4 linked regions of the Saccharomyces cerevisiae S288C genome follow. The protein of the gene in region 3 purifies or fractionates together with the protein of the main gene of each other region. This does not show direct contact. Each region holds a gene or a part of one and is shown on either strand. Other genes may lie near its edges. The genes, in order: RSE1, SNU71, CBC2 and SNU56.

The links.
Region 1: the proteins of CBC2 (region 3) and RSE1 purify together in Saccharomyces cerevisiae (affinity purification with mass spectrometry, with the first as the bait; 5 studies listed by BioGRID). This does not show direct contact.
Region 2: the proteins of CBC2 (region 3) and SNU71 purify together in Saccharomyces cerevisiae (affinity purification with mass spectrometry; 5 studies listed by BioGRID). This does not show direct contact.
Region 4: the proteins of CBC2 (region 3) and SNU56 purify together in Saccharomyces cerevisiae (affinity purification with mass spectrometry; 6 studies listed by BioGRID). This does not show direct contact.

Annotation. Positions count from the first base shown.
Region 1 is NC_001145.3:173,655-179,867, forward strand, and holds RSE1 (U2 snRNP complex subunit RSE1), read right to left. Parts: upstream 4,652-6,213; coding exon 566-4,651; downstream 1-565. Other genes in the region: AIM32 (Aim32p), read left to right, coding at 1-420; GSF2 (Gsf2p), read left to right, coding at 4,772-5,983. UniProt on the Saccharomyces cerevisiae protein: Involved in G2/M transition. Required for pre-mRNA splicing and endoplasmic reticulum (ER) to Golgi secretion pathway. U2 snRNPs associated protein required for the pre-spliceosome assembly.
Region 2 is NC_001139.9:512,600-517,040, reverse strand, and holds SNU71 (Snu71p), read right to left. Parts: upstream 2,488-4,441; coding exon 625-2,487; downstream 1-624. Other genes in the region: MSB2 (Msb2p), read right to left, coding at 1-98; MCY1 (putative cysteine synthase), read right to left, coding at 2,701-3,882; nicotinamide-nucleotide adenylyltransferase NMA2, read right to left, coding at 4,309-4,441. UniProt on the Saccharomyces cerevisiae protein: Component of the U1 snRNP particle, which recognizes and binds the 5'-splice site of pre-mRNA. Together with other non-snRNP factors, U1 snRNP forms the spliceosomal commitment complex, that targets pre-mRNA to the splicing pathway.
Region 3 is NC_001148.4:210,196-213,332, reverse strand, and holds CBC2 (nuclear cap-binding protein subunit CBC2), read right to left. Parts: upstream 1,176-3,137; coding exon 549-1,175; downstream 1-548. Other genes in the region: CUP9 (Cup9p), read left to right, coding at 1-291.
Region 4 is NC_001136.10:943,109-947,181, reverse strand, and holds SNU56 (Snu56p), read left to right. Parts: upstream 1-2,029; coding exon 2,030-3,508; downstream 3,509-4,073. Other genes in the region: AMD2 (putative amidase), read right to left, coding at 1-375; YDR239C (uncharacterized protein), read left to right, coding at 3,762-4,073. UniProt on the Saccharomyces cerevisiae protein: Component of the U1 snRNP particle, which recognizes and binds the 5'-splice site of pre-mRNA. Together with other non-snRNP factors, U1 snRNP forms the spliceosomal commitment complex, that targets pre-mRNA to the splicing pathway.

The sequences.
Region 1 (6,213 bases), on a different chromosome or scaffold from region 3:
CTATCCTTCCAGGATTATTTAAGCGGTAAGGCCAAGGCTTCCCAACAGGTTCATGAAGTGCATCATAGAAAGCTTACAAGGTTTCAGGGTGAAACTTTTCTAAGAGATTGGAACTTAGTCTGTGGGCATTATAAGAGAGATGCTAAGTGTGGAGAAATGGGACCCGACATAATTGCAGCATTTCAAGATGAAAAGCTTTTTCCTGAGAATAATCTAGCCTTAATTTCTCATATTGGGGGTCATATTTTTGCTGGTAATGTCATTTTCTATAAACTATTCGGCAGAGAAAAGATGCAAAACAAGCTGGATTCATTATGGTTTGGTAAAGTTTACCCACACAACTTGAAGCTGTTATGTGAAAACTTGGAAAACGGTAAAATCATCGACGAAATGTACAGAGGTGGCATATCGATGAATTAAAACGGTTTCCTTTTAAAACAGAAATAAAGATGAGGTGAAATTTTATATTTCTTATATTTAAAGCTATCATATATTCCTTGTACATATATTTATTAAGAAAATACATTAACACGCCTTTATACTTGGTATTATTACTGTAAAATCATTACATGTAATTTGTTCTGACTTCGTTGATTGTTTGAATTATATCCTCCACTTGTACACTCTTTAAATTTTTGGCCAAAAATTCCTGCTCATTCAAGGAAAGTCTCAGGAAATTTTCACATAAATCACCATCAATAACTTTACGTACAGGGGCATAATAGCTTCTGTATTCTTGGTGGTCTCTACCTAAAATGGAACAGGAACCCTCACATATTATTTCATCCTCTATACCATGCCGTCCTTGTAACACAACACTTCCAGATTCCTCTTCATCGTCTTCCTTACGCATATTGTTATTCTTCTTTCTTGATTCATAATCTAAATAAAACGTATCATCCGCCTCAGCCATTATATTCTCAATGTTTCCCATCATAAAAACATTCCCCTTGGATAATAAGGGGATAAAGCATCCCACGGTTCCTTGTAAGCCCATATAGATACAACCAGGTCTATCAGAATTTGAAAGGCTGTCCAGGATATGGAAATCAGTGATGATATCATTAACAAAGAAGTGGTTCAGTAGTTGAAACTTGAACTTGCAATCATAAGTATTGGGTAATTTCTGCTGTAAAGTGATGACGTCTAGTGGGTACTTGATGGCCCCATTAGATAATTCGCTGGGATCATGATTTGACATGATTTTTTCGCACTCTGGTGGAGACCTTAAAGTCCACGCATTTCCATATCTATCAGCGCCTATAACAGTTGCCTCATCTAGAAATTTCAATACCGTCACATGGCGTTTTACAGAGTCATCTACGTACGGAATAAATACATTCCCCGCAGGATCCCAGATAAATAAAGTGACAGATTCATGTATATCACCAACGGCCAGTCTTTCATAATTCCACTGGTGCATAGACACAATTTTTGTTATGGATACCGGGGTCTGTGTTACGGACCTTCTTAATAATTGCTTTTTCCCCAAACCATAAAGGACAATAGTGGAGCCCATGGCTGTCAGCAAGAAGTTTTTAAACTTCAACATAGCATGTATTGGTGAAATGATTTCTGTTTGGTGAAGTAATTCAATATCAAAAGATAGTTTATCTTTGTTAACTAATATCTTGTATGTTAACAGCCTTTTGTCGCCAGCACAAATGATCAAATGATCAGCTTGTCTTGTGAAATCTATTATAGCAGCGGAAACGCAATCGATATCGTCCAGTATCTTGTATAAATGATCCGAACTGCCAAACTTTAAGCATTCACCATCAATTTGCAGTGATATACGGCATTGTTTCTTACCACTGTGATTATCAATAAACAAAATGCTTTTCGGATTATTGGGAAATGATAAAATAGTACGAGGTCGGAATGTAGATATTTGTAACATTTCCATTTCTTCTTCCATTTCATCTTCTTCCTCTTCATTGCTTTCATCTCCTCCACCGTTCTCTTGCTTGTTAACACTTGATTCATGAACGTGAAACCAGTTATCCAAAGTTGGAAAGTTGGAAACTCTGCCAATATTTAAGCGTCCTGAGCTCGATATTGAACAAACACCGTTGATTGCAACATCTGCGTTAACAAATTTGGAACAACTTAGCATGTTTTGATCCTTTAACTGCCGTATGGTCCACACATTTTTCCACGTGTAGCTTACCCATGTAGAAGAGGAATGGCAAACCACGCATGACATCCATTTAGCTCCACTACTATTTATTTCTTCTTCTTCTTTTTCATCATCATCGTCTTCTTCTTCTTCTTCTTCTTCCTCATTATTTAGTGATACAGATATCTCACGCAAATACGAAAGGGAAACAGGCTTCAAGCCAAGGAATCGCCTTTTTATGTCAGTGAACGATCCGTCAACATCCCCTATATGAAATTTCATGTAAACGCCATTTTCTAAACCTACATGCAAATTAAGCTGTCCTATTGAGGAATCTCTAACCATTATCATGTCAGAAATCTTTTCACTAACTAATTGCAAACTTATTACAGTTAAAAAATCTTCCTTTTGGTCTTTAAGAGACATTATTTTGATCATACCCTCATTGTCAGCAATGGCTAATAAATCAGCATGCTGCGTATCTTGCACAATCGCAACTTTAGAGGGCATTGTGTCCAATTCTGGGTGGGTGGTTAATTCGATTAACGAATCCGAAGATACATCTATCTTGAAATAAACCAATTCGTAATTTGATAATGATATAATTAGTTGTGTTTTCGAGGACGTGGCACATACAATACGAATTCCCGCTGGTGGCACCCAAGTCAGCTTATTAGAATACCTAGATTTACCAGTCGGTACGATATGTCTTAGTTCTGCGGTGCATACTTGGATAATAGAGTGTGAGCCCATTAGGCATGTATGAATTGTTGTGTCCTGAGAGAGCTTGAAAGCTGAACGCGTTGCTTCATCCGGTGTTAGTTCCTCCATGGACTCGTTGTCAATTTGTAGTATCATAGTTTTCTTGGGAAAAGTTATGAACAAAAGAGTATTGTTATCGCCGGTTGTTGCAGGATCGGGTATTAGCCATAACTTGGTTGCGTTCGGGGGTAAACTAGTAGATATCAAATTAGAGTAATTCACAGCATTTGTTAAAGTTATTATCTTGTTGTTTGTAAAATGTTTAGTGGCGATAGACAGTGGCGAATCACTGACAATTTGAGATTTTATTGAAGGGTTCAAATTCAATTGTTGCGATAATATGCTCAAATTCTGCAACTTTATGGATGGTTCGAAAACTAGCGACTTATTTGGATCTTTTGAGGTTAAAACATTAGAAAAATCATTTTTCTCTACACCAAGTTTCTCAAACTGGAAAAGAAAGTTGTTATTCATTTCAGATAGTGCAAAAAGATAACCGTTTTTGAAAATGTGTAATTGGTGTGAATTTTGGATTGTATCAAAGTAGGACAATTGAACTAAAGGTCTATTTCTATCATTAGTGTCTGGACTTACAGTTAACTTAAAAAGATCGCCATGGTTAGATTGTAAAAGTACGAAAAAATCATTTTTCAATTTCTGCACTATGCCTGATATGATTGTTACATTTTTATGACGGCTATTTGTGATAGATCTTTTGGGTATTTCCACTTTCAGGCTGAAAAATCCGTTCATATCCTTTACCAGAATATGATTTTCGAAGCCTATGACAACAAAAGGGTTGAAAAGGGTATCATAGTCAGCATCATAGTTGTTGTCGCTTAGCGAAGTTGTTATATTATATCGCGATAGATCTGGCAAACTCAGTACGAAATTGGCAGATGGGTTAACTAAATAATCTGCCTTCTTGACGATGTGATTCAAACCCAACTCGAGGACATAAAATATCAAGTGTACTGATAGTTGAGTAGCGGCATTGTCGATTTCTAAGGTAACAAAACATGGATTATTGAAATTTACATCAACAACTGCCATATCCAGCGTTACCATATGGGGTCTGATGATTTCCAATGGAGACGAAATCCTCAATTTTTGAGCATAATCAACGAGGAAACACAATTTATTTTGTTCGACAGATGAGAGAATGATACAACGCCCATTAGGGTCAATTTCCATGTATGATATGGGAGAGACTCTTCGAAGGGTGGTCCTCGTCAATGGCTGGTTCACTAAAGTCTTAAGTCTAAGAGCACCTGCATGCATAATGATTTGCACGATACTTAGGTTACCAGAATCGGAAGTTAGCGCTAGAAAAGTGGGCCAGTTGGAAGCTTTTGCCCTTGACCCTGAATGCGGCAGATCCAGCGACTTCATCGAGGTTATCGTCGCAAACAGGTTTTGAAACTTGGCAATAAGCTTTAGTTCCCCATCTGCAGTATCATAAAGTTCTAAATGCGTCTCAGTAGCTACGCACAATTGCGACTGCTCACGCTTGGACCCTGCTTCCAGATCGACGAAGTGTCCGATGCAGGAGTGCACGAAATTCGTCTGTTTCTTTAAAGTAAGATGGTACAAGTATAGCTCATCATCTTTAGCAACCATTGTTATGTTATGGTCACTCCTTGTTCTTCTTTCAGCCTCTCGTTTTAAACCGTCATAAGCCATCGTTGTGCTAGCTTGCCCAAATAGTTTACGCATCTTCGCCGTGTGGGGCGACAAGCTTACTACTGCCATTTTGCCACCTCCCCACATTTAATGATGGAAAATATTATAAAAAAGCGAGAAAAGAAGCTAATGGTGCCATTGTTTTCCTTTTTAGAGAGGGGCAGCAGAGATCGGTGGACTTTGTTTTGATAGAGGGCGATTGCAAGCATGGAGATTTACATTAGACTTAACGCAGATGTCGAGCACGACTATGCGTTTCAGGTGTCAAATGAAGACACCATAAATAACAAAATTAAGAAGATTTTCCCTTCCAAGACGGGTTTGGCGGACTTAATGGTGCTGAGACCATCAATTTTCCATGAGAAGGAGCCCGTAAAGTTCTATAAGTCTATCCATCCAGGGTACCTGTCCGAAGGTGGTTGTTTGATGTTCCATTATGAAGCTGATAACGAAGAAAATCTCGAGGAGTTGAATGACTCCAAGCCGCTTATTGACCAGTTGTGGCCTGGTCAGCTAGTTGTTCCGGAGTGGAAGCTATCCAAGAAAAACATATGGGTATACACCATTATTATGTTGGCCTGGCTATATACCGATTTGCCCGACGCCATTTCTCCAACCCCAGGTATTTGTTTGACTAATCAATTGTCTAGACTATTGATTCCTGTAGCCAAGCACATGGATTTACCTGAAATTGCCGCTAAACTCGAACAAGAAGTTCAGGCAAACTATTCTAGTCTCGTAGCTCAATGGCTTTTCTTTGTCATGCACATTTTCAAAGTGGGCATAATTACTTTATTCCTCAAATTAGGCATTGCCAACCCCATCAGCTTCAATCCTTACAAGTTATGGAGTTTGAGAGATTTAACTTCTCCTTCTGCTAACGGCGCTAAGAATTCTGGCGGCAATAACAACACTACTGACTTAAAGACACGTTTGCGCTCTCTGGGCTGGATTGGTGCTAAGAGAGCTACTTACGACGATTACCAGACTAACTATTACAACTATGTCATAGATAAGATGGGTGGTGCAGTTGCTGCTTATAGAGCGGGCGCGATTAGGAAAGCTGCAGCACCAGGTATCCAACTTGTGGCTGGAGAGGGTTTCCAAAGTCCTCTAGAAGATAGGTTCACTGCTTCCACTTTCACGGCTATTAAAACCGAACGGAAATTCATTTTAAGTGAAGAATACTTTGTGGAGCTGGAAAACAATCTAAAGAAGATCTTGGAAGAGTATGACGGGGATATTGGTAAGATGAATGCTGAAATTAGGAGGTTTAGAAGGTTTGGTATTTATGAACCAGATGAAAAACTGGCCTCGCTAGTTAAGCTCAGAAGAGAAATTGCTGATGAGAAAGAGAAAGCATCAAACAATGATGCTACTTTTGGTATAAAAAAGAATGATTTGAAAAAATCTAATTAATTGTAAAACCAAAACACTACCATCCAGACTTTTTTTTTATTCAACCATAGCCTTTAACTACTACTACTACTACTAGTACTACTACTATTACTATTACTATTACTACTACTAGAGGGCCTTTTTTTACTCCTAGTATTTTTGTACTATCCTATTTACTCTCGTTGTTTTTATTAGTTTTTTCACTCTTTTTTTCAATTCCTCACGAATCTACTGTTTTCGTAGTGCTTTTT
Region 2 (4,441 bases), on a different chromosome or scaffold from region 3:
TGCGTTCCATTGCCGAATATAAAGTCGAAGGGGCTGGCCCGGGCCAATGACCCACTAATTACAAGGGTCGATAGGAGACAAGCGAATGGAAACTGCATAGATGGGTATAATTAGGAAGCCTAATGAAAAGTCAATAAAAATAGGAAACGAGGTGGAAGCCAGCTAGAGATGAACAGAATACACAATAAGTCGTTAAAGGAATGAATAATATTTTCACAAATATTTTGGTCGGTTGGAACGAGCCGAAGTCAGATGCTTTTAGTTCTTCTAAGAGAGAGCTTATTACTTCTGGAAAAAAAGAAAAAAATGGTAAAAAACAGGTAAGATTATTTTAGCAATATTATGGGGTCCCTTGGTGAGGTCGAATAGTTTTGGTAATCTATTATAAATGTAAAAATGCAGGAAATAAAGAACTTGGTACTATGGAAATGTATAAAAGTTATATATATCAGCACGAAGATGAGATAGTAAAAAAACACCCACTGGTGCTATTTTGATCTGGCAACGCCCGACGTGTCTAGCCACTTGCTGCAAAACGCCCCGAAACGGTAATTTGTTTTCGTGTCTTCGCCTGTTTCAGAGCGAGCCTTTCCCTTTTGGGACGCGCGCCAAGGCCCTTCTGTTTCAGGTCCCCAAGCGAAATTCTTTACGACTCCACAGTCTATCAGCTATCGTTTCCCCGTCCTCGTCGAAAGTCTCCCTTAGCTCATTTAAAAGGGCCTGTTTGCTCTGGTTCACGCGGATGTTCTCAAGAATGTATTCCACCAGCTCGTCCTCGTAGACGCCGAGGAATTCACGCACCAGTTCGTCCACGTAGCGCGATTCCTTCAGATTAGTTAGTCTTATGTTCAGTTCATCTGCTGTAAATGGCAAACGGTCCTCTGCCGCGCTTCTCTCGGAGGGTTTTGTTGGAGGTAGCTCGCTCTCTCTGTATCCCTCGTCTTCGCTAGAGCTTTCAACTGAGTGATCAATAGCCTTCTTAAAGTCGAATTTGATCTTGACGTGTTCTGAGCTCTCAGACACATTCTTGTCCGCGTTATAGTTCTCGCTCTTCACAGTGCCTTCAGGAAGGGTGATGGCGGCAGCCTTCCCTGCAGATATGGCCTTACCATCCGATAGTTGTATAGGCGCCAGTTCCTTTGCATTTCCATTTTTAGCTCTATCCTCTTCGTCCCTTCTTTCCTCTTGCTCCTTGAAAGATCTATGGTGGTCGTAATGAACGTCGTTGGCAAGGTGTAATAGCTCCTTCAAATATAATGAGCGATTTTTCTCCAAATGTTCCTCATAGTTTTCAGCACTCATGATATCAGCCCTAATGGATTTTATCTTAGGCTCTGTATTGGAATGTAATTGGTGTAACATATCCTCATATCTACGATTTGATTCTTCCAGGTCTCTTTCTTCTTTTCTCTTCTCTAAGGCAAGGTCGTCTTCAGTGTCATCCTCCTCATCTTCATCTTCCATATTAGTATCCTCCTCCTCTGTATTGGCGCTCCCTTTGGCTCCTGAGTGGTTTTTCCTTATTTGATCAAAAACTTTTTGCATTTGGTGTCTTTGACGCCTACTTTCCTCGTACGTACTTTTCATTTTTTTTTCTTTCTCTATACTGACAACTTTTGTCCTAAATTCTATTATATCCTTGCACAATTGGTCCAAAGCATCCGATGGCAAATCACTTAAAGTGTTTGTATCCACTTTGTATTGTGTGGAAGAGTCATCCAACTGTTCTTTCTTTGAATTTCTTTCGTCTGTTTGATCTTCAATGTTTTTGAAAACAGAATAAAATTCGCTAGCCTTTTCTGGCTTAACACTCGGTATAGTTCCTGTTCGGTCTTCGACATATTCTTTTGTGTTCAAATCCAAGTGTAACTCAATCTTGAAATCCTCATGTAGCTTTCTAATAAACGCGAATAAGGCTTTGCAGTAGTTCAGCGTATTAACAAATGCCTCATCTTCATCAACCTTACTGAATCTTATAAAAATGTCCTGGGTATCTAAAAACGAAGAAAAAGAAGACCAAGCTTCTACTTTCAATGCGGAATTGCTTTGAGTTTCAGTCAACGCTAAATTCAAACAGTGGTCTAGCAATGATTCTATCTGTCCGCGAGAAAATGATGAAGAGACACCTTGTAAAGATACTGTATGAATCTGTTGGTCTAAGGAAATGGGAAGAAATTGTTTGAGCTCTTGGTAACGGGAAGAGCTTGTGGCGCACTTGTTAGCACTATTGTTATCTGCTATTGAAGCCTCTTTGTCTTTATTCAAACCAGTATTCTGGTCAGAATTGTGTATACTCCCATCATCGTTGCTATTTAGCAGTGTCTCTGATAAGCTGTTTCTGGCGTCAACTATATGTTTTAATGAGTCCTGAAAACGTTGTAGATCATTTTTGAGGATAGGGATGAACCCACTTTTGGCAGAATCACTTTTCCAACCCTCCTGTGATGACAAATACAGCTGCGGTGATACAAATACAATATCCCTCATGTTCTGTAAATCGACGTACTCTTAAGGAACTTTTATGAGCTTGATTTTGGTCCTGGTCTGTTTTTGTTCTTGATCTATCTAATTACTTTTGCACTTTTTAGCGGGCATCATTACCACGGAAAGTAGCAAAAAATGTAGCAGCGAAAACTGCTTTTTTATATTTGTTCCTACAATTTAATAGAAGATAACTCAGTACTGATTTATACATCTATGTTAGATATTTATTACTTCTTCTAATGACACGTCGTGATCGATTTCTTTAGCTTCTTTCCAGAATTTACTTAGGTGTCTTGAACCGCTGTCGCATGCAATAATCACAATGTTTGAGCCGTGAGGAAGCGTTTTTGCAACCTGAATAGCGGCTACCGCATTAATAGCTGTACTACTCCCCACGAATAGCCCGTCGTTTACCGATAGGTATTTTGCCATTCTAATGGCTTGATTATCGTTGACTCGTATTGATTCATCAATAAACTTTTCGCCCATATGAAAATTATGAGTGATTCTGTTTAACCCAATCCCTTCTACGATAGTGTCAACTTGATGCCTTCTTCTAGTACCTTCCTTCTCTACATAGTCATACATCACGCCATAGTTGACTCTATTATAAAAGCCAGATCCTTGTGGATCCGCTAGAACGACATGGCAAGGTATCTTTGCTCTTTCCTTTAAGAATTTTGCCACACCAGTTATGGTGCCACCAGTACCGCAGCCAGCAATGAATGCGTCAATATTTCCCTTAGTTTGATGGGCAATTTCTGGGCCTGTGGTCTGGTAATGTACTTTCCAGTTGGCTTCGTTTTCGAACTGATCGGCAAAAACTGCTCTTATTCCATTACCACTCTTCTTTAGTTCATTACATGCCTTTTTGGCGGCATTTACGTATTGGTTTGGATCGACAATACTAGCGGGCTTAACCTTATTAACAGTAGCACCGAGGCTTTCTAGTAATGCCAATTTTTCTAGCGATGTGTCATCGGGCAAAGAAATGTGTGCCCTATAACCCAACGCATTACAGACCACTGCTATAGAGATACCAGTCGACCCACTTGTTCCTTCAAATACCCAGCCAGGTTCACCTCTGACGAGCTCGCCTAATTCCTCAGCCGTCTTTATGATGTTTAAAGCCACTCTATCCTTAGCACTTCCTGCTGGGTTGCATAACTCCAACTTAGCGTAAATGTTAACTCCAGTAGCCTTGGTAAGAGATCTGATCTTAACCAGAGGAGTGTTTCCTATGAGTTCTTCAACGCCTTCTTTTGGACGTGGAATATCGCGTGTTTTGAACAGCTTATAGTATTTGTATGATGCATACGCGCCAATTAGGACGGAAGCGATGGATATGCATTCACGCCAGGCCAGACTGACAGAAGTCTTATTTTGAGAACAGGACATAAAGGATGTTTTGGTATATTCCGATTGATAGGGCTATTATGCAGTATTATACGGCATTGTTACTTCAAATATTACAAGACTTTTAAGTTACTATAGACGTGCAAAATTCAATATAGATCATTACCCGCATTAATAGTAACGCGAGTAGATCAAGTATCTTCGGATTCTGTATTTTATAAGCTAATTTTGCTGATTTACGTATACGATTCACTGGAATGTTTGTCTGAAAGGTTTTCCTTATGAAACTTACCGCTGGTGTGGTTATATTATAATTATTAAGTGTTAAAATAAATGTTTGACATTGTTCACATGATTGTTGCTCTGCTGTAAACATTTTAAATCGTGCATCCAGGAACTTTTTTTCTATGCACCTTGAAGAGGAAAGTGGTAAATTTGAACTGCTGCAGTATCAGAGTTGTAATAAACTCACTCTTTGCTATCCAAGACCTGCTTGACCGGTTCACTTTGATTAATGTATAGATTATACTCTTGGATGTAACGGATGACAGAGTTTGGAAGAAGATATTGAACTGACATTCCACGTCTGATGAAAAGCCGC
Region 3 (3,137 bases):
AATTGGTTCATAAATGTGAGAAGACGCAAAATATTTAGTGATTACTATACCCTGGTAAACTCAATTCCTAATGACAACGCGAATAATACCCCAGTGGAACGAGTTCAAAACGTCTCAGCATATCATAACACATTATCTGCCACAAATAATACTATGTACGATGCTACGTCAACCTGCTCCACGGATTATGAATTATCCAAGAGATTTGCTCATGCCCCCGTTACACGCCGTAAAAAACTAATTGATAGGCTGGAAGAATTGAAAAAGCTATCCAACCCTGATATGAATTGATCACTTATCAATGCATTACTTAAATATTCATATAATTATATCTATTACCATTTACATTTTATCGTTACTATATATAGTATTATCATGTCATTGAACGTGTTACGTCTATTATGTTACACTGATTTTTTTTTTTTTTTTTTACATAACAGCATCATGCAAGCCTTTAAAAATAATGTAGGTATGTATATATACAATAATATATATATATATATATATATCTGTGTGTAGAATCTTTCTCAGATATAAATTGATTGATTCTACTGAGGTACGTAGTTATCATCTTCTCTTTCTTCATCGAAACCTGGTCTGAAAGTACCCATTGCATCAGGAGGAGGGATATAATTATTCGTATTAGATTGTGAGCTACTGTTATCAAATCTGGAATGTGGTACGCCGACACGCTCTGCAAATGGAATGGCGAAGCCACCTCTGGATGCATCAAAATCGAACCTCAATTCATCGCTGACTTGACCACCGCTCTTACCACGACCAAACTGTCTTCCATCTTCAAAACCAGGATCTAGATCAATGGTAATTGTCTTTTCGTCTAACTTTGTATCGGACAAATATTTTAAGGCATTCAATGCTTCATCTGGACAACTATATATAATAAAACAGAAGCCACATGGCGTGAACTTAAAACGGTCCAAACCCATAATTATTCTTTTTATTGTGCCACATTTACTGAATAATTCGTAAATTTGTTCTTCTGATGTATAAAAGGAAAGATTTCCTACATAAATTGTGGATGACTTCATCGACTCACGCAGTTCTTGTAGCCCGTTAGGGTTTCTTCTAGCCTTGCGCAGCAGGTACCTTGATGGTGTATCTAGGCGTTTAGTTGAATGATCATATTTAACTTCGTCAAATTCTTCCAGGGACATCTTTCCCTTTATTTATTGGTATATTAATGGATGCAACTTTTATTCGATATTAGTCCTTTCGGGACTTTAAAAGCTGTCGAGACACTTTCTCCATATAAACTCATGTTCTATATTCATACATATAATATTTTTCTTGAAAAAAACACAAAAACTGTTAAAGCGGGTAATACTTTGATAAGCACTTATTAACGTTTATACCATACACTACTTCATACACCAATTACAAATCTATTAGTGGTATACTTTTACTGTAGACAATGTGGATTTTGATGTAATTGTTGGGATTCCATTGTGATTAAGGCTATAATATTAGGTATATAGATATACTAGAAGTTCTCCTCAAGGATTTAGGAATCCATGAAAGGGAATCTGCAATTCTACACAATTCTATAAATATTATTATCATCATTTTATATGTTAATATTCATTGATCCTATTACATTATCAATCCTTGCGTTTCAGCTTCCACTAATTTAGATGACTATTTCTCATCATTTGTGTCATCTTCTAACACCGTATATGATAATATACTAGTAACGTAAATACTAGTTAGTAGATGATAGTTGATTTTTATTCCAACATTTACTGGTACAATAGGTGTATGATATTTTCCCAAAGTTTAAATTTATATAATATAAGTGGCTTGTGCATTAATGCTCTTGAACGAAACTGGATAACGAAAACTGCAAATACTTGTAGTTTTAAACAGACACTTTCTGGGATAGGTCTATCAGCGAAGCTTGGGAATGTTTCGCCAAATTACCTGTATCCTTTCATGAGCGTGAGCAGGTTTAGGTCATGGTCACATCTTATTATATAAATTCTTTCAGAAGATTGTCAATTGTCCATCTATCGCCATAGATTATCTGAGAGCGAAGTTCCATTATGTCTACTAGTAGAAAATAATTTGAAGTTGAAATATAATAGCATTACAAAATTTTTTCTTTATATAGTCCGGTCTTGAAGAAGGATAACAATATTAAGTGTATGAAGACACAAGAACTTTTTCTTGGAAATTTGGATTTTTATGGGAGGAAACCTACAGCGGCAATGTATAATTATGATTAGTTCATCCTTTGCTGCCATCTGTTCGCAATTATTCATGCAATTGTATGATTATTGTCAGGCATTTCAACTTCCGGTAGATTCGTTTGTAATAATAGGTGAATTTTGTGTTGACATTATCAAACCGTTAAGATAGTGTTAGTTGCCAATTAGCATTTGCCTCGATAGAATGTGACGTTAGTTGTGGTACTAGGAATAAAAGTTGATGGCCAAACATTTTTCCTGCACATTTCCTTCAGCGTTTTCAGAAAAGAGAATTTGAGTAAAAATATTTTTGATGTTTAGGTTACCAATATCTCATTAATATAAATTTGAAAACAATGAATTTTGGGTTATACTTGGAGTGCATTTTATTGTGGTTAAAGGCTACAATATTAGCTAAACAGAATGTACAAGTAGTTTTCCTGGAGAATAAAAGAATTCTAAAAGAGAATCGATAATTCTATACAATAATATAGTTATCTCTTCTTTCGTTTATGTACTGTCGTTCTTGTTTTATTACGTTATTAATCCTTGCAGTGCACTTTTCATGATGACTGGTGACTGTTTCTCAATTTTTACATCATTTTTTTTTGAAAACATGATGATATACTAATAATTTGGATACTAGCAATAAATGCTTCTTGATCCTCTATTCCAACAAAAAAGTAACAAGAGCTTACTGATCTTCGGTTTTTATTTTACCTTATCCCAAATATCAAATTGAAATATACCGATTGTTTTAATCCGTTTTGTTGTATATTATCGTAATAATATGCAGATAATATACATATATACGTATTACGCCGATTAGGCTGACACTTTAACAAAATTTTCTGTCCAATTATTGTCCGATATAGTGTAACGGCTATCACATCACGCTTTCACCGTGGAGACCGGGGTTCGACTCCCCGTATC
Region 4 (4,073 bases), on a different chromosome or scaffold from region 3:
GTACAAGGGTGGCAATATGGCTGGTCTATTGCTGTCGTAATAGTCAGCCAATCTCAATGCCTCTGAAAACATGATTTCGGATAGACAATTCACTACTTGATGAATTAAAGCAGCCCTATGACAAAATGCAGCTGTTATTTCATGGCAGCTTAACTCTTTTGCTTCCAGTGCCTGTCTCAAGGCCATAATCGTGGAGTGGGTGATCTGATTTTCTGAAGATGAGCATAAATCATCGATATTCTTGATTAAATTTTTTTTATCGTTCTTCAACCTCGTTATAGTTGTGCTGTTTAATTTCCATTCGTCTTTTATCTTACTGTTCAGTTGATCTTTTTTTAATTGAACTTTTTCCTTCCACGTTGAGTGCACAGTCATTGTATAACTTTGGTACCGTGTTGTCTGTCGTTAATAACAGGTCAGAGCGGCTGTCCCTTCCACTCCCCATTGAAAAAAAAGTATTTACTCGACTATATATATGTAATACGCTTTTGAATACTAAAATAATGTTATCAGTAATCTTATCTATTATTATCATATTATCATATTATTAGCTATTATTATATCATGAGCAATTCGCGCGCGCGGCATTTGAGATAGCAAACTTAATCCGTCACACAGATAATACTACAAATTATGACACATAATACTCCCGGTACTCAATAATATCTCATTGTTCGGTCACGAATGTGTCATTGACTATCCAATAGAGAATCAAATACAACGACTACTGGGAACTTATCTCCAGAAAGCCGGCTAAAAGTAGGTGCTTGACATAAAAAAATCTCCCGGGGGCGAGTCGAACGCCCGATCTCAAGATTTCGTAGTGATAAATTACAGTCTTGCGCCTTAAACCAACTTGGCTACCGAGAGTCGATTTCTTGCGAGGTGTTGTATCTCAAAATGAGATACGTCAGTATGACAATACGTCATCCTAAACGTTCATAAAACACATATGAAACAACCTTATAACAAAACGAACAACATGAGACAAAACCCGTCCTTCCCTAGCTGAACTACCCAAAAGTATAAATGCCTGAACAATTAGTTTAGATCCGAGATTCCGCGCTTCCACCACTTAGTATGATTCATATTTTATATAATATATAAGATAAGTAACATTCCGTGAATTAATCTGATAAACTGTTTTGACAACTGGTTACTTCCCTAAGACTGTTTATATTAGGATTGTCAAAACACTCCGGTATTACTCGAGCCCGTAATACAACACGAGGGCTTGAAATATGTTTCTTATAATTAATATCAAACTTGTTTGGAGGTTCCTATGACAGCGCCTCATAACTCGTGTCATCTTTGTACTTGTTAGAGATTGTTGGGACAGATGAACATTAACTTTTCATAAGATATTACAATAGCAATATAAATACTTAAATGGTATACTATAGTTCTAATGGAATTCTAGCATCATCTATTTAGTAGTATTTATATTATTAGTATATTATCGCATACGGTATAAGAAGATGTAGTTTACTTGCTTCAAACCAGTGACCTGAGAAAGGGGTGAATAATTTGATGATTGTTGGGATTCAATCCTTGGTAAAGGTATAATATTATGAATGAATAATGTACTAGAAGCTCTCCCCGAGATATAAGAACCCGCAAAAGAGGATCGGTATTCTTACGTAATAATATTATAATCTCATCTTCCATTTTTTATGTGACATTATCCTATTACATCATGAGTTGTTGCATTTCCTCTTCCATTTGATGACTGTCTTTCAATCTTTATGTCATCTTCTTACACCGCATTTGATAATATACTACTAACACGAATGCTAATAAACAGATGATATTTTGGATTTTTACTCCAACATGATCTTTAATTACTTCTTCATATTTCTTATTCTCATGATTGCTACTGGTTTGTTGTAACCTTTTTTTTATTTGAGCTAGAATTTTCAGCGCGCATCGCAGTGTAGAAAACATTAAAGTTATATTATATACTATAGTAGAAGTTTGACGTTGAGAAACAGTTTCCCTTCGACTAATATAAGCAAAAAATATTAGTATCATGCGCCCAAGAAGGAGAGGATTAGCGTATCATCATACCAAGCCGAAGGGACAACTTTCACAAGGACATTATCCTACGACATCCAATGATGGCCAAAGAAGGAAGGTCGGTAATTCTGAAGCATTCCAATCTTTTGATATATGGAAAAACCTAGATAGGATAAGGTCGACTAAGAAGAATGCAGGGCAATTCATAAAAGGTAGTCTGCTCATACTCCCCATGAGAACGGAAGATAAACAACAGTTCGACGAGTGCATGGATGAATTGCATAAGTATATATCGAAGGATATATTACGATGTTATCCACAGAAAGAGCAGAAAGATGAAGGCATGCTTTTCTACATAGTTTTGAAGGACTTCAATATATTGGACTCTTGCTTCGTATTATCAGTTCTGCTTGCTTTCCAGAAGCGATTATGGATGGCACCATCCGAAAAATCATACTTTAGAGTTCCTAAGAATATTAACTTGACAGGTTCGTTTTATTTGCCCAAGAATATAGAAACTGGTAGAGGCCATATAATAACAAGCTATAGAAGAGAGCAGCCCTCATCCAGTATTGTAGAAGTTGGTTTCAATGTTGTTCCAGATTTTCAACAGTTTCAAGTTAAGGCTTGTCATGTAAGTAAGTTCATGAATGAGCTTTCTAATTTTTTTTCACAAGTAGAATTTGGCAAGTGTGAAGCTAACGTGATAAACTACTTTAAGCGTGAATATAACCGCACTTATTCACAGATATCACTTGCCCTCTACGAACTTCCATTAATTGGCGATGGCTTGTTTGATATAAAGTCGTACATTAGTAAAACCAGGCCAATTATAGAAACATCAAAAGCTCAAATGATTAAACATATTTCTGAAATGAAGGCATATAACGAAATAAGTGGCCTTCAAGGAGATCAATTTCCACGACAACAAAGACCTTTATCGAATTCGCCCTCTTCAAATTCAATTTCCTCTTCTCAAACTATTGAAGCAGGTGCAACTTCATATCAAACACAACCACAGAGACACGCTGTTAATAAGCCATCAAATGTATTGAATTCTTCCAATCGTCATTCCGGGCCAAAAACTTTTGAGGACGGAAGGTATAGTGAAGGTAATAAACCGGGTTTTATGACGCAGGATGAAATCAAACAACATTGCATTGGTACCATAAAAGCTTCTATGGATGCAGTGAAAAAGAAGTCTTCGTATCAGATTCTAAAGACATACGTTAGGTGTCCAAGACAAAATTATATTGATATTGTTTATCAAAATCTAAATGATCTACGATCAAAGACAAATTGTAATATCGTCGTATTGAATCTGAATAATCTTCACGAGTCACAAATGTGGCTTGAATCTTTAAATACAACAAATTACACTATTTTTGCTCAGGCGCCTCACCCAAGTACCATCCGCGTTATTAGTATTGGTGGAGTCGGTGAATATATAGTCAAAGCATTAGAGCTGATATTGAATATATTAGAACATTGAGTCGCATATAACAGTGGAGGTGTATAGATATATTTAAAAAACCTTTTGGTTATTTTTTCTCTTTCATGGCATTTGCTCCGTATGCAAAGCGATAGTTTAATTTAATGTTTTCTTTCAAATGTCATCGCGGATTCAAAGAGCGCACTATTATTATTTGGCAAAAGTTTAAGAGGGAAAATGTTGAAATAGCATGTTCTGCAAAGCGAATTACAGGTTTTGAAGGAGTCTACAGGTAAAGTCTAATAATACAGTGATGTTTGATGGCTTTAGCAACAATAAAGGTAAACGAAGGTCTTTTTTTCGGTTTGGTTCTGAAAGTAAAAACAATGACTCTGAAAAATCCGTTAGAAAGCCATCGGTGCCCTCTACAATAAAGAAATCAACAAATATCGCACGAACTTCGACGGCTGAAACTTCTGCCCCTGATATACCGCCAAGAAGTCCAAATAGGAATGCTCATAGCAGGAGCCATTCTATCCAGGCACCATTACAAAAGGAAACATTAAAGAATACTAATCCATTTTTGAATGCTGAGGATACCTTAGGAGATTCTCTTGAATTAACA